2 linked regions of the Stegostoma tigrinum genome follow. The main gene of each other region encodes a partner of the protein of the gene in region 2 in a complex. Links are inferred from orthologs where the notes say so. Each region holds a gene or a part of one and is shown on either strand. Other genes may lie near its edges.

Evidence for each region. The genes of interacting proteins can lie anywhere in the genome.
Region 1: the proteins of tubgcp3 (region 2) and mzt1 are in contact, whole or in part, in a cryo-EM structure (PDB 7QJD), measured with the Homo sapiens proteins. The link is inferred for Stegostoma tigrinum from reciprocal best matches to the Homo sapiens genes TUBGCP3 and MZT1. Residues at the interface, in NP_006313.1 of Homo sapiens: Lys7, Pro9, Leu12, Leu13, Asn15, Leu16, Cys17, Arg19, Ile20, Leu21, Arg23, Val28, Gln31, Tyr34, Ala35, Val38, Ile39, Asn42, Phe43, Ala44, Pro45, Thr46, Ile58, Leu62, Arg67, Asp70, Phe74, Leu77, Lys80, Leu81; in NP_001065243.1 of Homo sapiens: Asn17, Ala20, Val21, Glu23, Thr24, Val27, Leu28, Glu30, Ile31, Ser32, Arg33, Ile34, Leu35, Asn36, Thr37, Leu39, Asp40, Glu42, Thr43, Ile46, Cys47, Val48, Arg49, Leu50, Cys51, Glu52, Gln53, Gly54, Ile55, Asn56.

Annotation. Positions count from the first base shown.
Region 1 is NC_081359.1:25,378,084-25,389,080, reverse strand, and holds the start of mzt1 (mitotic-spindle organizing protein 1), read left to right. Parts: upstream 1-3,266; 5' UTR 3,267-3,342; coding exon 3,343-3,388; exon of another isoform or gene 3,389-3,502; intron 3,503-3,733; exon of another isoform or gene 3,734-3,788; intron 3,789-10,997. Other genes in the region: bora (protein aurora borealis), read right to left, coding at 389-553. UniProt on the Homo sapiens protein: Required for the recruitment and the assembly of the gamma-tubulin ring complex (gTuRC) at the centrosome.
Region 2 is NC_081359.1:13,324,112-13,335,108, forward strand, and holds the start of tubgcp3 (gamma-tubulin complex component 3), read left to right. Parts: upstream 1-4,689; 5' UTR 4,690-4,890; coding exon 4,891-4,966; intron 4,967-9,091; coding exon 9,092-9,199; intron 9,200-10,997. UniProt on the Homo sapiens protein: Component of the gamma-tubulin ring complex (gTuRC) which mediates microtubule nucleation.

The sequences.
Region 1 (10,997 bases), about 12 Mb from region 2:
GTACAGCTCTTCCCTCAGTGCTAGCCTCAATGTTATGATATGGGCTAAAATGAAGAATATGTACTGTTTCTGGCACTTTTCAAACTAACCACAGACTAAGTGATCCCAAACAAATGTAACGAAAATTTGATAATCAGAATCTTCCTTGCTTTAAAGCATTTCCTCTAACTTCGATCTATCTCTTTAATATAACTTTAATTTTCTAATGGCTAATACAACCAGGTATCACTCTTTCAAATATAGTTTTCATATGGTAAAACGCCTTTGTCCTAAAAAAAAACTTGACATTCCACACTGCTATTTTTATAGCACACAAAATCAATTAAATTACAATATTTTGTATTCAATATGAGAGAAAAGAATTCTCTTTAAGGAGTGTCAAACATACCTGTGAATCAGGTGTTTTCACTAATTTGAAGACAGAGGGACTAGGGACTACTGGTTCATGCAATGTTGCATAATCACTGGGGCTCTCAAAAGGATTTGAAACAGGAGGTCGCCCGGGTGTGTCTGGTGTTACATGTACCCTGGTCTCACTCTTCAAATCTCCCATTCCTCTTCCTTATAGTAAGTAGAACCTTTCCACTTCTATTATTGGGGAAACAAGAATCTTTGTGAAATAAGTAAACAATATGTTTTTTAATGTCAAATTTTCACATATGTCTCACACCTACTCTTTTAATGAAAACAAAATACTGCAGATATTGGAAACTGGAAACAACAACCGGAAATGCTGTAGAATCTCAGTAGATCTGGTAATACCTATGGAGAGAGAAATAAGATTAACATTTCAAGTCTGAAAAGACTCTTCTGCAACACGAAGTAGTAAAATTGGAAAATGTTCGAAATGCTTCGGCCCATCTATCCAGATCCCACTTTCCCAGAACTGGTGTCAGTACCAATGAACTGGAACCCATTTCTGCCACGACAGTCGTCTTTCAGCTATACATTCAATTGTCAAGTCTGATTTACCTTATGGCAGTTTTTAAGTGACTCAAGTATAACACAGCGATTATGAATATTGAGGTTCTGCTTCTTAAAATTTGCACCCAGCTCCTCATACTGACAATGCAGAGCCTCCTTCTTTGTTCTGTCTATGTCGCTGGTACTGACGTGGACCATGGCAATTGGGTCCTTCCCTTCCCATTGCAAGTTCGTCTCCAGCCCCAAGCAGGTGTCCCGCGTTGTGGCAGCTGTCAGGCAACACAACTGTTTGGACTCATGCTTTTTTGCTGCAGAAAACTTTGTTAATCTCCCTCACAATCCTGTGTCCTACCACAACTACATTCTTTCTTACTCCCATCGAGTGTCTTTGTGTACTGTGCTGCCATGATCATTTAGGTTATCCCCTCTGCAACCCTCAGCCTGCCTTACCCAGACAAGCTGAAAGAATAATCTTAATTTTGTTTGAGAAAGTTCCTTACTAATCAGATATCTTTAATATACTAATTAGCCTAAGCATATTATGATAACTGCACTACATCAGCAAGTGTATCACAGCACATCTGCTTACATATCTTGCTTCTGTGGAGTCACATTAACTAATGACATTCTTCATATAATTCGTTTAGCTGCTGTATCCATTGTCCAAGAACTATTTTATGCAGATTTGGGTTCTTCACATATAAAGAACACGAATTAATTTCTAGCTGAGCAAACATTTTATACAATAAATAATGCAGTTTTTCATGCTATGTAATATATTCAAGAACTCGACTAATTTTTCTAAAATGTTTATCCACGGGATGTGGGCATTGCTGACTGGGCCAGCATTTATTGTCCATCCCTAATTGTCCTGGAGAAGTTAAATATGAACATTTTCTTGAAACACGTGTGTGAGAGATGCAGGACACATAGCGTGCTTTTGAGCATAAGATATAGGCAAAGTAGGCCACTCAGCTCATTCGTGGAGGAGATTCAATCAATGAGATCAAGCTCATAATCATCAATCCACTTTCCTGCCTTTTCCCCATAACCCTAGATTCCCTTGCAGATTATCATAGCCTTATATACTTAGTCTACTAAACACATATATACTATATATTAAAATGTATGCTTAAGATGCTTTGTATACAAACAGAAAATGTGCTTGACAGCCCAGCCTGTGTAGCCCTCCAGATTTTAAAAAAAATCCACCGATTCACTACTCTCAGAAGTGATTCATCCACATCCTTGACTTAAATGGGTGACTCCCTATTCTGAAATTAAACCCTCTGCTCCTAGAGTCACTCAGAATGATAAACAACCTGTCTGCATTTACCCTTTCAAGTCTCCTAAGAATCAACAAAAACATGATATCAACAATCCTTTAGCCATTTTTCTATTTTAAAAGATTTTACGATATTTTACCTGCCACTATTTTACATGATATTGATATTTCACTCTACCCTCTGTTTTATGTGATATTTTCAGTCAAGACTTTCCAGTTTACAATATTTCACCCAGTATGTCTGTTTTAAATGTTATTGATATTATATCACCTCAGTTCCTCTCTATTTTACATGATGTTGATAATATATCACCCAATCTATCCGTGTTTTAGATAATATCGACAACATTTTATCGATTCCCGTGTTTTACAAGATATTGATATTTTCCTTGTCTCGTTCCGTTTTATATGAAACTGATTATATTTTACCCCAGTCTCTCTTACTTATTGATGGTATTCCACCCGAGGCACCCTTAGTTTTACATGAAATTTCACACCAATCTCTCTCCATTTTATATGATATTGATGAAACTTCACCCCAGTCTCTCTGCTTTACCAGACATTGATGATATTCCATCCCAGTTTCTCTCCGTTTTACACACTATTTGACACTAGTGTCTCTCTCTCTATTTTAAAGTGATATTTAAGTAGATCTTACCTTCAATATTCCTCTCACCGAGTTCGTTGCCTTGAATGTCCCTCCCGCAGCCGCTGGCCAATCAGCGGCTACCGCAGCGAACGCAGCCAGCCAATCACCTGGTTTGGATGGTGGCAGCCAAAGAAACACAAACATTGGCAAGGGATATAGCCAATTACCGGTCTCAGTTATCGTTAGCCAATCGGAATGTCTCCTTGGGCGGTGAGACGGCAACCAATCGGCGGGTGCGCGCCAGCATCAACCAATCAGATTCAAACGGCAGCCAAGATTCTAAACGGCCGCTGACCCAGAGGAAAACCTTCACAGTGATAATAAGTCGATCCCGTTTCATCGGTTGGACGCCGACCGGTTATTTCACAAGATTTATTACCACAGTTTCCTGCTTGCTACGGTGACTAGTTTAGTTTTTTTTAAAGATGTGGTGATGTAATGGGCGGGGACCGGGCGGCTGTGGTTCCGGGTGAAAGGTGGAGCAATGGCGAACGCTGCTAACCTGAACGCGGTGAGGGAGACCATGGACGGTGAGTGTGAGAGAGAACCGAGTGATTTCGTGTTGAAGTTGGCGGTTCTTGTCTTCCTACCGATCCTCCATGTCATTAAAAGGGAGTTGATCGCGGCTTCATCACTCCAAATTCCTGGGAGGGGAAGAATGTCGAAACGTTAATGCTGCCTTCCCTCCACAGGAGCAGCCAGACCTTCTGAGTTTCTCCAGTGTGGAGCTGGAGGAACACAACAGGCCAGGCAGCATCAGAGGGAGCAGGAAAGTTGATGTTTCGGGTTGGGATCTCCACTACTTTGTTTTACTTTCCTTCTGGATGGAGAAGGATGTACCCTACGAGCAAAAGATTTCAGTAGACAGCTCATACCTGTGTTCCTCGGTGACCAGAAGAGGTGATCTCCGTTCAGACATGCGAATATGATTCGACAGGGTGGATATAGCACGCCCCTCCGCACACCCATGTCCAGAACCCGGAAGTCACAGCCTCTGAATGAGGGGACAACCTTTCAGGGAGTGAGATGAGGAGGGACTTGTTCTCGCGGAGGATAGCAAATCTGTTCAATTCTCGCTCAAGCATCCCCCCACCCACAAAAAAAACTGTATAGAATCCTAGTTCTTGAGTATTTTCAAGAGTGAGATGGATAGCTTTCCACTTTTAAAAGTAATATCCAGGGATTGTGTAGGAATTGGTGATGACGGAGAAGCCATGACCTCATTAAATGGCAGACTGGGCTCAAAAGGCAGAATTTCTCTTTTATTCATTAATGCAATGTGGGCCTTAGAATGATCTACTCCTATTTCTTAGATTTTTATGCTTCTTGTCAAATCCATTTAAGCATGAACAGTACACAGCAAGCTAATTTGACTAGGCAAGTTCAAAAATATAGGCCCATACAATTTACTGTGCCTCTTGTTTCCAGACTGCAGGGGTTCTACAAGCCATTCAGCCCATTGGGTGCATATTGACCCTTCAAAGAGTTTTGCAGGAGCACTGCAGCAAACCTGAGACATAAATGTTAGCCAAGGAGCACAGTGGTGTGTTGAAGTTGCAGGTAATTGGAGCTGTCATTTTTGCAGAACGTAGGTGTTCTGCAACATGGCCACCCAATCTGCGTTTTGACTCCCCAGCGTAGAGGAAACCAGGTTGTGATCTGCAAATACAGTAGATGAGTAAGTGAAGCGGATGTAAATCACTGCTTAATCTGGAAGATGTCTGGTGCCTTCGATTGTGACAAGTGAAGAAGTAAACTGGCATCTCTTACACCTTCTGCACATTTCTGGGAAAGTGCCACAGGGATGTGGTATGTATTGGGAACGGAGGAAGCATGCACCAAGTTATACCATAGGAAATGGTGCCTGTAGAAGACTCACAAGTAAGAGAAGGGGAATGTGTCTGGTGACAGCATCACACTTGAGGTGGTGGAAATGGTGGCTTATGAACCTTTAAATGTGATGCTGGTGTGGTGGCAGGTGAGGACCAGAGAGACCCTATCCGTGTTAGGGTGGGAAGAGGAGGAGTGAGGACGTAAGTGCGGGGGATGGGTTGGATGTGGCTGAGGGCCCTGTCAACCATGGTAGCAGGGAATCCTCAGTTGAGAAAGAGGTGGACATTTCAGTGGCCCCTTGCAGAAGCTGGCATCGTCAGAACAGATGCTACAGAGAAAATCCGCAAACAGGACTGCCTGGGCAGACCATTGTTTCTGCGTGATCCTGGCCCACAAATTCTTTTGTCCCAACCCGATTTGATTTTCTGTTTTTTCCTCTCCTCTCCAGGTCCTTCCCACTTACATTTGTGATTCTTCTTATGCTTTGCCAATTTCCAGCTTGTGTGACTCCTGCTCCTCACAATGGGCGTGCAGTCCATTACACCTCCAACCACCAATGGGATGATCTCGGGGCCCTCCACTACTTCCTGGAAGAAGGCCTGAACTGCCCTGTATACTTCCTACTCTTCCGAGCTCATCCTTACTTTGAATAACTGCCCCTTAAACTCCTCTTATTTTCTTCAAATTGAAACTGTGGCCGTAGGTATCAGCATGCCAGTAATGCCTATCTCCTTATGGGTAGATAGAATATTTCTTGTTCCAGCTCTTCTTGGGGCTCCTATCACAACTCCTTCTCTGGTGTATTGACATTATTGATGCTGCTTCCCTCATCCAGAATTGGAAAGATATCAATTTCTCCTCCAGCTCTTCTCTCCCCATCTTCAAAATCTGTTTCCATTTCTGGGGATAAGCATTACAAACTCATCAATTCTCACAGTTCTTGGTCTATACTTGCTCATACGTGCTTCCTGTAAAGAGTCTATTCCAACGTTGTTTTCAACCAAGAATTCCCCGCTGCTGTGGTCAACAGGATCTTTAGCTGTGTCCAGCTCATCTTGTGCAATTAAACCCTCGTCCCTTCCCTTACTACTCCAAAACCAATAGGGTCCCAGTGGTCCTCATCGTCCACCTCAACAGCACCCACATCCAAGGATCATAAGACACCATTTCCTCCACCTCTAGCAGCATGCCACCAACATTCTCCTCTCTTTCCTTGCCAGCTTTCTGCCAGGACTGTTCCCTCCTAGCCACCTTGGACCACTTCTCCTCCACTCCCAACACCACCTTCTGTTCACGTGGCAACTTACCATGCAATTGCAGGAGGTGTAAAACCTGCCCATTTCCTTCTTTCCTCCCTACTGTCAAAGGCTCCACCCACACCTTCCAAGTGAAGCAGCAATTTTCCTGCACTTTACTCAATCTGGTATATTGCATGCAGTGCTCACAATATGGTCTCCTCTACACTAAAAAAATGAAATGCAAATTGGACGACCGCTTTGCCGAACACCTATGTTTTGTGTACAAAACATGACAGCTTCTGATGGCCCGCAATTTCATCACACCATTGTGTTCCCTAGCCAGCATCACTGTTTCAGGCTTGCTGTGCTAACGAGCAAAGCTGGAAAACAGCAGTTCATTTTTCACTTGAGGATCCTGGAGCCTTCAGGATTTAGTATCAGCTTCAGTAATTTTGAGGGCTTGAAGACATTTGTCGATCTCTCTTTTATTACCACATTCCAGGCCCTATCATCATATGGGCTTCTGTGATGACCAATCCATTGTCGGCTATTAGTGGACCCCAGCAGCATCCAGCGATTCAGCTACGTTGACCATTACGCATTCCACTGTTTTATTGTATTTTTTGTCAGTGTTAATGAGAGCAGCAAAAGCAGCGTCTTGGATTTGGTGATGTTTCTATTGGGCTCCCATGAAATGTGGGGAAGACGTGGGAATTTAAAATAAAACAAAGAACTTTGGATGCTGGAGATCTGAAACAAAAATCTGGAGAAACTCAACAGGCCTGGCATCATTTGTGTAGAGAAAAGCAATTGAGGTTTCAAAGCCAGTGACACTTCTTCAGAATTTGAAAGAAAGGTTGAATGTCATTGAAAACCATGGACTCATAGGGTGGAATTCTTTCCACTTCTCCCTCTCTCTGTAACAGCTTTACTTTGCATATCTGGAATGCCTTACAAGGTTATGTTTTCTTTTTCCCTAATTTTCAACTTCTCCCACTTTTCACAGCTGATGGGTTACATTGGAGGCTGCCTAAACAACAGCGGTAATTTTGAGCTGTCACTGTTCACTCTGGGAGGAAAAGTGTGTTAATTGGTGTCGGTTGCAGAGTTTTGCTGTGGAGGCAGATGCTTTCTTCAGAGTCATGGCATAATAAACTGGGTATAGCAGTGCAAGATAAACACTTGACTGAGGAGACTGTGTCAAATTATGTCACATGCTTATGTCAACATGGCTGTGCCTAATTTTCTATCACAGTGCTGGAACCCTGATTTCCACATCCCTTTAGCCTCGAGAAATCTATTGCTTTAAGTAAAATTCAATACTTTGGCCTCTGCAGTCTTCTGTGATTGAGAATTCCACAGGCTTACCAGCCTTCTCATCGCGGTCTAAAATGGCATATTGCATATACTGAAACCTTAATGCCTTGTTTTGGTTGCCCTAGCCAGGGGAAACGTCATCCCTGCGTTCAGTATGGCCAGTTCTAAAAGAATTTTGTATGTTTCAATGAAATCTCCCCATTTCTTCTGAACTGCAATGCATACAGGACCAGTTGGGTCTAGTTAGGAATTTCCTGCCTAAATGCAATGTGGGTCAATCTACAGCATGTGGACGGCAGTGGTTCAAGATGACAGCTAGGGATAAGCAATAAATGCTGGCCAGCCAGCGATGCCCATAATCCCACAAGTGAATAAATATTTTTCTTTTAAAAATGGGCCCAACCTCTCCTCATGTAACACACCTGCAACTTCAGGAATCAGTCTGGTGAACTTCACTTAAATGCTTTCTTGGATAAACACCTCAGCTTGAAGCATGCCCATGTACTCTAGTTACTGTGGGGAGAGAAACTCATTGAAGTGTCAATTTGATAGTTTCAGCACCATTTTCATGATATTTCCCAGGAAAGACAGAACTGCAGTTTCAAGCAGAAACAATTCGGAGCCATCGCTGCGGGTTCATAGAACATAGAACATTACAGCACAGTACAGGCCCTTTGGCCCTCGATGTTGTGCCGACTTGTCATACCAATCTCAAGCCCATCTAACCTACACTATTCCATATGCTTATCCAATGGTGACTTAAATGTACCTAAAGTTGGCGAATCTACTACCATTGCAGGCAAAGCGTTCCATTCCCTTACTACTCTCTGAGTAAAGAAACCACCTCTGACATCTGTCCTATATCTTTCACCCCTCAATTTAAAGCTATGCCCCCTCGTGCTTGCCATCACCATCCTAGGAAAAAGGCTTTCCCTATCCACCCTATCTAACCCTCTGATTATTTTATATGTTTCAATTAAGTCACCTCTCAACCTTCTTCTCTCTAGTGAAAACAGCCTCCAGTCCCTCAGCCTTTCCTCGTAAGACCTTCCCTCCATACCAGGCAACATCCTAGTAAATCTCCTCTGCACCCTTTCCAAAGCTTCCACATCCTTCTTATAATGCAGTGACCAGAACTGTGCACATACTCCAAGTGCGGACACACCAGAGTTTTGTACAGCTTCACCATAACCTCTTGGTTCCGGAACTCGATCCCTCCATTAATCAAAGCTAAAACACTGTATGCCTTCTTAACAGCCCCATCAACCTGGGTGGCAACTTTCAAGGATCTGTGTACATGGACACCGAGATCTCTCTGCTCATCTACACTACTAAGAACCTTACCATTAGCCCTAGAAGTAAAGGATAATTAGAAAACCTCAGATCAAGGAAATAAATGCACAATAAATTTTAGGAATATGAATGTCTGCATCTCTGCAGGCGTTCCTCAGGGTATTGTCCTAGGCCCAACCATCTTCAGCTGCTTCATCAATGACGTTCCTTCCAACATAAGGTCAGAAGTGGGTATGTTCGCCAATGATTGTACAATGTACAGCACCATTCGCAACTCTCCAGATATGTCAAGCTGAAATGTTTTTGATATTGGAAATTGAGCAGAATACTTGTGGAAATTTGAGGTTCAATTCAAAAGAAAGGAAACTGAACAAATGGGGCCCCTGAAGATTTATATAGCAGCGATATCTAAAATACACCATTCTGATTTGTGATCTGATCAAATTGAATTTTGGTGAAGAACACTGGAAGTTTTGACCTAGCGTGGAGAAGTGAAGCTGCTAGAAAACTGGTAGTAATAGTAGGACTGTTGCTGCAGTGCTGCACACCTGACTGTGGCGCCCAAAGCGACGGTTTTGAGAAACCAGTAAGGGAAGCTGTGATAACTGGGTTGGATTTGCAGATCCAAAACTTGCACCAAGCACAGAAAAGATTTACAAAAACTAGTAGATAGGTTTTGTTAACAGCAAGCATGAATGTTAGAATGAAATCAGTTAAAACCAAAAATGATGCATATCTCGATCACTAAGAACAAATCACAGAGAAAGAATTAGAAATGCAGTTATCAAAGTATATCTGCATCTGGAAGTTGCCACAAAGAAATAAAAACAAGGATGGCTATGAGAGAGGCCAGATTTGGTAAGAAGAGATTATTTTCTGGTTAGCAACCAGAGTACATAACTGATTGTAGGGAGTTTGGTTTGGAGCATTATTTTGTATGTATGAGTAATTCTATGCATGAATTAACTAACCTGTAAGTAATGTTTGATCCATCTTGATTTCTGCTTTGTTACAGCGTAAAGTGTAATCTCTGTTCTTTTTGTAGTTCAGAATTTCATTGCATTTTTAAGTCATGTCTTTACAGAAATCTTAACAGTAGTGTCTTCTAAGATGATAACGTAATTGAATATGGGATGGGGGGGGTGTAGTTAGATTCTGAATATTATTACTGGCACTCATGGTGTCTATGTTACTTAAATTTGGGCAGCTGAAGCCTAATTGTTGTCCAGGTCTTGCTGCATGTAGGTATCGCCATTTCACTATCTGTGTGGTTGTGAATTAAAACAACCACCTACAGTCACCAGTAAATGTCTCTTGGTTGGAAGGAAAAGTGATTGATAAAGCAGTTGAAAGTACTTGGGTGCAGGACAGTACACCAAGGATCTGGCACAGTTTTAATAGGGTAGTGGTTATCATGTTCGCCTTGCACAGTTCAATCCTGGGTGGTGACCAGTCTCTTTCCTCGGGGACCTGGCCAAAATGCATGCTCAGCGTCCCTACCTCTGACCCAAAGGTTTGGGTTCAGGCTCTGCCTCTTCCAGGGGTGATCAATAACATCTCTGAACAGATTGCTTACAAAATTTTTTAAAAATGCTTACCCTGAAGAGTTGCAGTGGTAGTTTCCCTGCCTCTGGCTCATGAGGCTGAGTTCAAACCCCATCTGCTTCACTGGTGTGTAATAACATCATTGAACAGGTTAATTAGGAAAAAATGTAAATACCCTGAAGAACTGGGTTCTTGTGGCATAATGGTAATGCCCTGCTCTGGGTGATAAGACCGAGGGATTAAGTCTCACCTGCTCCAGCAGTGTGAAATAGCAACTCTGAACAGGCTGATTAGAAAATATCTAAACAGGAATTGCAGCAATTGTCTTGAGGTTCATATGGCTGCTAAAGGAGATCTGTCGTTGCCTTGTCTGGCCTACATGTAACTTCAGATCCTTGGCAGTATGGTTGATTCCTGCTTTTCTTTGAAATGACCTAGCAAGTCACTCAGTTGTACCAAACTACTCACCATTACATTATCAGAGGAAAATGAGAATGGGCAGCAAATTGCCAACAAAGATTACCTCCCATGAATTTTTTTTAATTGGCCTCTACCAATCACAACCATGTGCTGCAATGACTCCACTCAGTGCCGACCACCCCATTCACTGCTCTCCACCTGACACTACCCAGCTTACCCCATTTCGTAGAAGATAACTTGATATTGATGAAATCATTCCAGCCTCTCCTCAGAAATTCTTTGTGCAGTAATTTTTAGATATTAATTATTTCAACACAGGGCCGACATCTTCCAATAAAGACTGGTGGAACTAACAAATCCCATGAACCTCCGATATTAAGGAATATACAGATTTGGATAAGGAGCAAAAGCCTTGTAGCAGATACCGAGGACTGCAGAATATGCAATGGGAAATTCATAAAGGAAATCAGAAAAGCAAGATGGGGTCATGAAA
Region 2 (10,997 bases):
TGTGGTGGCTTGTACAACTTGCTACCAGTGGGGAGATAGGAACAGTCCAGCGCCCCCTCAACGTGTGAACGAGGCCCGCAGCTCAATGCAAAACCAGACACACAATCCAAACACTCATGTGAATTGAGGTCAAATCAGACACTGTTACCAAAAGAAAGGCAGCGTAGGAGAAAGACGGGATCTCGACAGGCAGAGATTGAAAACGTAAAAGTTTTGTTTAAGTTTGTAAAGTCTCGCCGTTCCATGTTTCTCGGTGGAATCGAAACCGCTTTAAGACCTGTTTTGAAGAAGGATCGAACAGCTTCCTAATTTTGCATTTAACATTATTAACCAATTTCACTTTACCATGAGCACTGGTAGGCTCACCATTTTTCCTCGCACAAAATCGAGGTTTACTTTAAAAATGATTGATAAACGTTGTTTGGTATGATATACTATACTACGTGTGTATTCTGTTTCGAAACCAGTTGGGCAGAAGACAGCAAGTTTCCCGGCCAATAATTGTTGGATCAACCTATGTGAAGATTTAGAAACTTTTACCAACAAACTATGTACTATGTACTTTTACTATTGTACATTATCAAAAGAGCACAATGCTCTACAATCACCACCATGCTTTGCAATTCATAAGGAAATATACTGGGTACAACAGCTCTCTCAGCTGACATGGATAACTCTCTTCATCCAGATCATCTTCTACAAATACATGCTATGAATATTCTTGCTACAGTTCTGAAGAAGTTCTTGATACCAATAACTGTTTTCTCTCCACAGATGCTTCTCCAGCAATTTCTGTTTTGGTGCAGAACCCTATTATTTGAAGTTTAAAAGGCCATTATCTCCCCAGCAACAAGGAAATTGCCTGCAAGGGATGGTTATCAGCTGTTAAATATCAATATTTGAGCATGGAAGTCCCAATTGCTGCCATACCTCTACTACCATCTCCTCTGATGGAAAGATGATATATCCCACAGGGTGTGCAGTATGAAACAAGAACAAAGCAGATTCAGGTGTTCACCAAATGAACAGGTACTTCACTTCCTGGCGAATACTTTGCTGATATTTTCAAAATCACACAAGAACTAGAGGGCATAGGTTTAAGGTGAGAGGATAAAGATTTATAACTGACCTGAGAGGTAACTATTTTTTAAACACACAGGGTAATGCGTGTACAGAACGGCTGCCAGATGAAATTGCGTACAATTGCAACATTTAACAGACATCCAGACAAGTATGTAAATAGGAAGGATTTAGAGGGATATGGACCAACTGCTGGCAAACAAAACTAAGTTAGATTGGGATGCCTGGTTGACACAGACAAGTTGGTCTAATTCTGTGCTGTATGACTCCTTCTTCAAGATCTCCTTCACCACAATGTTACAAAAACCTCTTTTTAAACGTCTCTATAAGCCATAAATGTGACCATTTTGAATAGAAGGTTATAGGCCCGAAATGTCAGCTTTCCTGCTCCTCTGATGTGCCTTGGCCTGCTGTGTTCATCCAGCTCTACACCTTCTCAGATTCTGCAGCATCTGCAGTTCCTACTATGTCTTGAATATTATTCTGCCCAGGACCATGTCTTAAAACCCTGACTTTTGAGTCTCTATGAACTTTAAGAATCAGCTGGTTCAAGAATCTGTTGTGCATATCCTAACAGCAACAGGAGCTGTTCATTTAACAACACTACGTCACATGGGCTAAACTGGTTTTCAGTCTGGCAATTTGTTGGTTTTAAAATTCTTATCAGTGTTTTTGAATCCCTCACATCCCCTCACCCCAATAACTTCTTCAAGCCTTAGAATCAATCTGCAACCTCTAATTCTCAAATTCGGGTCTCTCATGTATTTGTTCTTTCATTTACTCTACCATTGGCATTGAAACCTTCAACATGCCTAGGCCCTCAGCTCTAGAACCTCCTCTCGAAACCTCTTCATCCCTTTCTCCTCCTACCTCCCTGACAAGCCTTTTATTATTTGCCCCCATACATCTTTACATGGATCGGTATCAAATATTGACAGATAATCCTTCACAAAGCATCTTCAGACTGTTTCATATGTTAAAGACATAGTACAAAGCAATGTTACTTTTGTTCTTGCTTAGATTTGTCTGGATGCTTAAATGTTCACTGAAGCTTTTTGAAATTTTATGGGTTAGGGAGGAAGATGGTCCTGAATAGATCTTTTGTCCATGTCTTATGTTTCTGGGACTGAGCCCTGGAAAATTTGGGATCACAAGCTTATTTTGATGCTGTCACAGTCAGTCTCCAGTGTTGTGGCTGCCTAGATGCTAGAAAGCAAAACAGAACACCAACTAACACTTCATCATACTGGCTTCTGGAGTGAAGTCTAATTTTTATTGATTTTCTTTGGTGCAACAGATTTAATAAATATAATCAACAGATAATTCAGCTGATTGTATATCTAAAATTGCAGAGAGAGATGTTATCTAATGATAACCAGCAACCTCAATTTTCAAAATATGTTAAATATGGTGAAGGATTATAGGAAAATCAGGATTAAATCTAATATTCAGTAAATTAAAATTGAAAAACAACTTTTGCAATTCTTAAATACAGTGTATTTAATCAATGAAACACTAATATGTTAAATTGACAACACAATCCTACATATTTTCACTGTTTAAAAAAAGCACTGGATCGTGACACATGTCTCCAAAACACAGTCCCCAAGAAAGTTTTTGAAAAGTGAATCTCTGATCTTCCCTTGGCTTTCAATCAGTAAACTTCTATAATGAAAGTCTTTCTGTAAAAGTGTCACATGAATAACCTTTATGTCCATGGGGAAGCTTGAGATGAGACAATGAGGCACCAAGACACTTACATTACAATAAATGTAACAATGCCTAAAAGTATTTTGAAACCAAATCAGAGGTAAGTCATTTTCCTTGGATTTGTTTCAGATTTTAAAATGACAAAGATTAAGGGCACTTAATCAGAGAGGAAGAGAATAACAAAATTAACAGCAATTACATCAGTACGTACTGGAAGTTGAGCAGGCAGTGAATCTCAGAAGTCAAATGAATTGTGACCAATTAATTTATTAATAGTTAATGTGAAAGAGAGAAAAGGTTGCCGTACAACTATTGGTTTGTGGTTCATTCATGCCCTTTACAGAAGGAATTCTATTGTACTGACCAGGGCTGGCTGACCTAGATGTCCAGCTGTGACCTCTTAAGACTAAATTTCTACTCAAGTCTGAAGTAAGAGTGCTTCACACTGGACATAACAGCTTTTCAGAGGTGTTGGCAGGAGGGGCTAATTTAGTTTGAGATTACGTTCATCAGGTTGGACCAAAGGGCCTGTTTCTGTGCTGTATGACTTTGAGTTGTTAAACTGAACACGCATTTGTCTTCTAAGGGTTACGTAAAAGATTTCATTGCACTATTTTTAAGATGAGCATTTATTGTCAGAGATGACAAGGTGTAGAGCTGGATGAACACAGCTGGCCAAGCAGCATCAGAGGAGCAGGAAAGTTGACGACACCAATGCTGCCTGGCCTGCTGCGCCTCTGCAGCTCCATACTGTGTCAAGTCTGACTCCAGCATCTGCAGTTCTTGCTACCTCTGATAAGGTTCGCTTTCCCTCCCTTATAAATGTGACTCCAAACCCACGGCAATGTTACTGACACAGAGCTATCACTTGAAATGACCCATTGTTACCATCAGGGATGAGCAATAAATGGCAGGCTCATCAACCAACACGGATAAACTTAAAACAACACCTGCATCAAAATACAAGGAAACAGTGTGCAGGATGTTTAAATCGCAGCAAGAAAACCTCACAACGAATTTTCAAAGTGTGAGGCACAGGACGATGGCTGCGGGAAGATTAACAAAAGCCAGCTCCACCCTCAGCAGGCCGCCAGTAACCATGGAAACGGCATCTTCCCCTCACAGCCTTGCCTTCACCGAGAGGCTCTTCCTCGTGCCAGCTGTTACCTATTTCACCCCGCCCACTCCACGACACTGCCCTATAACCCGCCATATCATTGCACGGCCTACTTCACGAGCAACCCAGTCATCGCCAGGTTCCGAAGGATAGCCCCGCCCCCCTATTAACGACCCGCCACCCGTCCGCAGGCTCTGTCCCTTTTTACCTCACCTCTCTCCGACTGCCCCGCCCACATCTTAATACCTCACCGCTGTCCGACTGCGCCGTCCATACTGGCCCCGCCCACTCCATGCTCCGCGCCCGTCATCATTGGACCCACCTTCTTCCCCACACTTCCGCATCCCAGATAACAAGATGTAGAGCGGGATGAACACCGCAGGCCAAGCAGCATCATAGGAGCAGGAAGGCTGACATTTCGGGCCGTGACCCTTAATCAGAGGGTCTAGGCCCGAAACGTCAGCTTTTGTGCTTTTAAGATGCTGCTTGGCCTGCGGTGTTCATTCAGCTCCACACTTTGTTATCTCGGATTCTCCGGCATCTGCAGTTCCTATTATCTACGATACTACTTCCACCTCCCACTCCGTCCCCGCCCCTGCACAGGACCCCACCCATCCATTGTTACTTGTCTCCGCCCACTCGCCGCTAACCCTATCCTGACCACGCTCCCATCACATAGCCCCGCCCACGCAACGTTCTGGCCAGCCGCTGCACCCTCCTGACTCCACCTACTCGGCGCCGTGCTTGCGTCTGGTCCTCAGACCCCGCCCATCTCCTCGCAGCGGATTGTACCCCCTGACCAGGAAGTGGATGTTTGTAGTTCCGTTGCAATGCCGCGGGCTCTTAAAAAAATGGCGCCCTTGGCGCCGGGTCGGAGCTAAGACGGAACCGGGATTGAACCTGGGCGAACTGTGGAAAAGCCGAGGCAACGGCTCCGACCCGGGAACTGGGTCTCCTAGAACAGGACAGTGGGAGGCCCGGCGATGGCGACTGTGGATCACAAGTCCCCGAATCTACTGTTGCAAAGCCTGTGCTGCCGGATCCTGGGCCGCAATGAGGGTGAGTAGGGCCGGGGGCTGGAGGTTGTGAAGCCGGAGACTTGCTGGTCTGGCCTGGCATGGCCTGGCGACAGTGAGGTAGGGATGTGTCGACAGCGAATCAGCCCTGGTGAGAATGAAAAACAAGCCCAGGTGGAGTGAGGGAATGATGTACGGACGTGCAGGGGAGGCGTTAGATGGGTTATGTTTGCAGGTGGAATTGAGCGGCTCGAATGGTGGCTTGTTTTCTTGAGGGGCTAAGCGTACAGCAACGTCAAGGATGTTGGAGAGGGACAAGATTAGAAGGTTTTTCTCACGTTGGCGGCAATGAAATTGAGAGGAGTAAAATTCGAGTCCTCCAATCGGAAATCCAGCTGAGTAGAGATTGGGTTGCTCACGATTATAATAGTGCCAGACAATATAGGGATAGTGAGAGTCCTGTAGTATCACCGGGGATAGGAGGAGTAATTAAATTGAGGAGATGGTATCAGAAGAAAGAGTTCAGGTTTTTGGAATCTAAACAGAATCTGGGTAAATCGAATGTAGCTGGAGAAAAGGCAAAGTTAACATTCAGTTGTAAGACAAGAAAGTTGTTTGGTGTATCAGAACAATACTGGTCTTCATTGAGTAATCCAATCAATTCTGTTCCCTTTTTCTGTCCCTGTAGCTTTGCTGGTTTACTTTTCTTTATTGCCATCCTTATTCCTTGTGAAATTACTAGTTATCTCCACTTCTATGACCCTCATACACAGTGGGATCCAGATTATGAGCATTCAGTATGCAAAGATATTTTTCCTAAGACTTTTTGTTTATCATTCATTCATATTACTCTTCCAGTTTTATCTGGTTAGATTCTCCTCATCTCATTGAAATTAGTTGCCCTCCAATTTGGAAACTTCATTTTAGATTATTGCTTTCTGTTGTCCATTACTACTTAATCTATAATTAATATCATGTTCCCTATAAGTTATATGAACTCATTCCCTGGCACCAGAAATTTCACTTTGAGTTGCAGTGAACATACAAATTCGGACATTTTGGTTAAGCAAGCATGTTCCACCATCAGTAACACCATGGCTGTTCCGCCTGGCCTCAGCACCACCTTTCTGTCTCATCCCTAAACCTGTTGATTTCCTTTTCAGTCAAGAATCTGTCTAACTCAGCCTTAAAAATATTTAGTGATTGTGCTTCCCCTTTTTGGGGAAGAGAAATCTGGGGACTAAGCTTCTTTTAAGAGATTCTTCTATTCTGCGTCATAATTGAGAGAATCCTCATTTTTAACCTGTGCCTGCTGGCTCCAATCTCTCCTACAAGTGGAACTATCCTTCCTGCATCCACCCTGTTAATTTCCGTCGATACTAAATGTTTCATTAAGATCAACTCTCATTCTTCTGTACCCCAACGGATATAGGGCTGACATGTCGAACCTTTGCTCAGAGGATAATGTTTTATCCCAAGAATTGATCAAGTTAACTTTGCACTGTTTTAATCCAGTTACATTCTTTCATAAGCATGACCAAACTGTTTGCACTTTTCCACTTGTGGTGTCACAAACAGACTGTATAACTAGAAAATTTGGAATATGTGAGAAAGCTAGATAGAAATGTAAGAACAAACATTGGGTTTCTATAGATATTTAGAAAGGAAAAATGGTAAAAGAAAATTGTTGGCACTAAGGAAGTCAGTTTAGGGAATTACTTATCAAAAATAAGGAAATGACAGATTACTTAAGCAGGTAATGTTGCAGTACTTTTCACAAGTGGGTACGAATAACATGTCAGAAATGTGTGTATATCAAAAATGGAAAACAGAAGGGACCTTTGGAAAGTTATATCAAGTGTGTTGTACTGAGTAAATTGTTGGATCTGCAGACTATCCAATTCCTAGGTACTGTGAACCTTATCCTAGGGACGTACAGGAAATAGCTAGCAAGGTAATTAACATGCTATTTTGTTTTTCCAAAATTCTCTCGACTTGAAGTTTCATTTGATTAGAAAATAGCAAGTGGAGCTTCTTTATTCAAAGTTGACAACAGAAAGCAGGAAAGTGCATGCCATTTAGCTTAACGTATGTCAAAAAGAGGATGCTGGAAGCTATTAATGAATATGTTAGTGTGGCTGTTTGAAAAATTTAAGATAATCGGAATGTGTCAACAAGGCTTTGTCCAAGGGAAATCATTTTTAAACAATTTGTTGTAACTGTTTGTGGAGGTTAACATGCTGTGGAGAAAACAGATCTAGCGGATGTGTTGCAGTTGGTTTTCCAAATAGCATTTGTAAGGTGCTGTGTCAAATGTTTTTGCAGAAAATATAATATCACAGTGTGGGGAAAGGAATGCATTGGCATACATAAGAGCTTGGCTGGCTAACAGGCGACAATAAGCATATATGTGTCACTTTCAGGTTTGCAAGATGCAACAAGTAGTGTACCAGAAACAAGTTGTGATCTCAACCTTTTACAATTTGTGTCAGTTATTTTGAAGGAAAGGATGAAAGATATGGTTGCTAAATTTGCTAATGACACTGTAGTAGTTAGCAAAGTAAATTATGAAGTAGACAGAGGACATAACTTAAACAAGTGGACAAAGGTCTGACAAATAGAGTTTTAAGTGGGAAAAGTGAAATTATCCATTTTGGGAGCAAAAGTTGGGGAAAAAGGGCAGATTATAGAGATTATGAAGGATTGCAGAGTTCTTGTTATGCAGAGATATCTGGGTGTGCTAATGCATGAAATGCAAAAGGTTACTATGCATAACAGCAAGTAATAAGGGAAGCTGATGCAATGTAATAATTTATTACAAGGGGAAATGAATACCAATAGAGAGGTTCTGTTTCAGTTATACAGGTCATTGATGACACCATATCTGAGGTACTGTGAACACTTGTAGACTCCTTATTTAACATCCTGGGACATTATAACACCGACATCTACCTGGTAATGTGAAAAATTGCCCAGCTGTTTCCTCTTAAACAAAAAGGATAAATCAAACCTGGCCAATTTCTGCCCGACCAGTCTACATCATCAGTACAGTAATGGAAAGTGTCATCAAATGTTATGAAGCAGAACTTGCTTAGCAGTAATCTGATCAGTGATGTTCAATTTGGGTACTGGCCACTCAGCCCCTAACTTTGTTACAGCCTATGTTCAAATGTAGGTAAAAGAGCTGAATTCCAAAGGTCAGATAAGAGTGGCCATACTTGACGTCAAGGCTGCTTTTGACAAATTGTAGCATCAAGGAGCACGAGCAAAATGGAATCCATGGGAGCCAAGGGAAAACTGTCTGTTCTTTGTAGCCATAAGTAGCTGAAAAGAAAATGATTTGAGGTCAACCCTCTCAGCTCCAGAGCATTTCTGAAGGCGTTCTCAGGGTAGTGTCCTAGGCTCAAGCACATTTCCCCATAAAGCAATCTGCTCGTTTCAGGTATTAGTCCGATAAACCTTCTCTGAACTGCTTTCTGTGTATTAACATCCTTCCATATGTAGGGTGACCAGTACGGTACACAGTCCTCCAGATGTGGTCTCACCAGTGCTTTGTATAATTGAAGCAAGTCTCATTACTCTTGCATTCAGTTGACCTGGTAATAGACTATTACATTCTACAAGCTTTTTTGATTACTTTCTGTTTCTGCATACTAACCTTATGTAATTCGTGCATGAGGACTCACAGAACTCTGCATCTCGGAGTCCTGCAACCTCTCACAGTTTTGATGTGCTTCTTCCTCTTCTCATTTTGCCAAAATAGACTATTTCACACTTTCCTACATTCATAGTGCAGTTTCCAGATCTTTGCCTACCTAACTGTCTATCTCCCTTTATAGCCTCATGTCCTCTTTATATTGTTTCATCATTTTGTTTCATCATTTAGTTCTCTGAATGCATCTTTCCAGCAGTTTTTATTGTTTATCCACATTTGTAACTATAATAAGTTGGCAAAAAAATGTGGAAATTTGCAGTGTGAAGCATGGGAAAATACCTGAGACAGGGTTTTGATTGTATAATGTTCTGTATTACAAAGTGATTGAGATCAGTTTGAATTGGAACTTGTTTTGTCTGTTGTTGTTTTTGAGACCAAGTTTTAGTTTGTTTTAATTTCCCATCAGACTTCTGGATTTGAATTGGCCTTACCATGTGCGATTGTCTTTTATAGCTGATGTGGCTCAACAATTCCAGTATGCTGTGAGAGTAATTGGAAGTAATTTTGCTCCCACCGTGGAAAGAGATGAATTTCTTGTCGCTGAAAAGATCAAGAAAGAAAGTAAGTTGGCTTCTTGAAATAGTTTGGTAATCAATGAAAATGTTCTGTCAGCCTCTATTCAGGTCACTTAGGTTTGGAATTTTTCTTTTATGTCATCATTATTACGGCCAAGTTGTAGTCTGATCTAAGTTTTTGTCAAACCTGTGTTTTCATTAGGTGCAGTCTACCAATAAAATGATCCTTGCAAAAGATCACAATGCTAAGTCTTCTCTTTAAAAAGTCCATGTATAGTATTAGTTGTTGTACTCTCTCCTTTCATTGAAATAATAACGCTGTCAAATATAACACTGTCAATGAACTCATCTCATCCTCTGTCCTTGCTGTGATTGCTGTGTAAACAATACTTATTATCAAGTTCTGTGAATCACCCAGTTTATGTAACAAGTAATTACATGGAAGATTGGTACAAAATTGAATAGTTGCATATTCAATGGTGAGGAGAGAAGGTGGGTTCCACACCACGGTGGGAAGAAAAAACTTGCACATAGACTTTAACAGCCTAAACAAAAGATGGTCCTCCAAGGGAGCAGGTCACAAGAACTAATGCTATACATGGTCTTTTTAAAGAGAAGACTGAGCATTGTGATCTTTTGCAAGGATGATATTATGAGGAACAGGAGTTTGCATTCAGTGCTTTTATCCTGTTCTGTGATTTGATAATACGATAACTCATGATTGTACTCCCACTCCACTTTACTGACTGTCTCCGTGACCCTGAACTTCCTTACAAAAATCCATCTAATTCAGTCTTGAATATTTAAAAAAAAAACCAGGCTCCAGTGTTCCCTGAGAAAGATAATTCCACTGACTAACAATCCTCTGATGAAAAAAATTTACACTTCTAATAAAAGCAAAGTACTGCGAATGCATGAAGTCTGAAACAAACAGAATGTAGGAAAGAAACTCAGCAGCTCTGGCAATATCTGTAGAGAGACAGTTGCTTCGAGTCTGGTGTAACTCCTCTTAAAATCTTGTGTCGGAAAACATTTTTTTAATACTTTTGACAGAGGCAGAGGTGGAACAAGGGGATAGATGGTATAAAAGCCCTGTGCAAAAGACAAAAGAGTAGTTATGGTGGTGAAAAGGGAAAAGACAATCAAGCTGTAGTTCCTAGGATCGAAATGGACTTCACCTCCACTGGAGATCTCACTCCAGAGCTTCTCACCTCATAACACAAACCCACACCACCACCTGCAACCACGCATAGTCTGCTCCACAAACAGGACTGCCCTGGCAGACCCATAATTCAAACCTGTTCCTGCTCCACTGAACTTAATGTCTTCCTGTCTTGATGCTATTTCATATTCCTCACTCTTTTCAATCTTTTCTTACTTATGTTCATGACTCTTCTAACATCATTCATTAATTTCCAGTTTTGTGGTCCTGGCTTCCACCTCTTCAGCATGGATGTGCACTCCCTGTGTACACCCTTTTCCCAGCAGGATGGTCTGAAGGCCCTCTGCTTCAATACTGAGAAGCCACCTTCGCAATCTCCATCTGCCACCACATACTTATCTGTATTTCTTTCTCAACTAAAATCGCTACCTACTTTTGTGTCATCAGCACATTTTGGCTACTGTTATATAAGTCATTAAGATATTGTAAATAGTTCAGGCCCAGCAATGGATTTCTGTGCAACTCCATTAGGTACACTTTACCAACTTTAAGCTTTATATCTTCCTTCTGCTTGTTGTTAGATAACTAATCCACTTCCCATGCTAATACACTTTTCCAACTCCATAAGCTGTTACCTTGCTAAGTGACATTTTATGTGGCATCTTACTGAATGCCTTTTGAA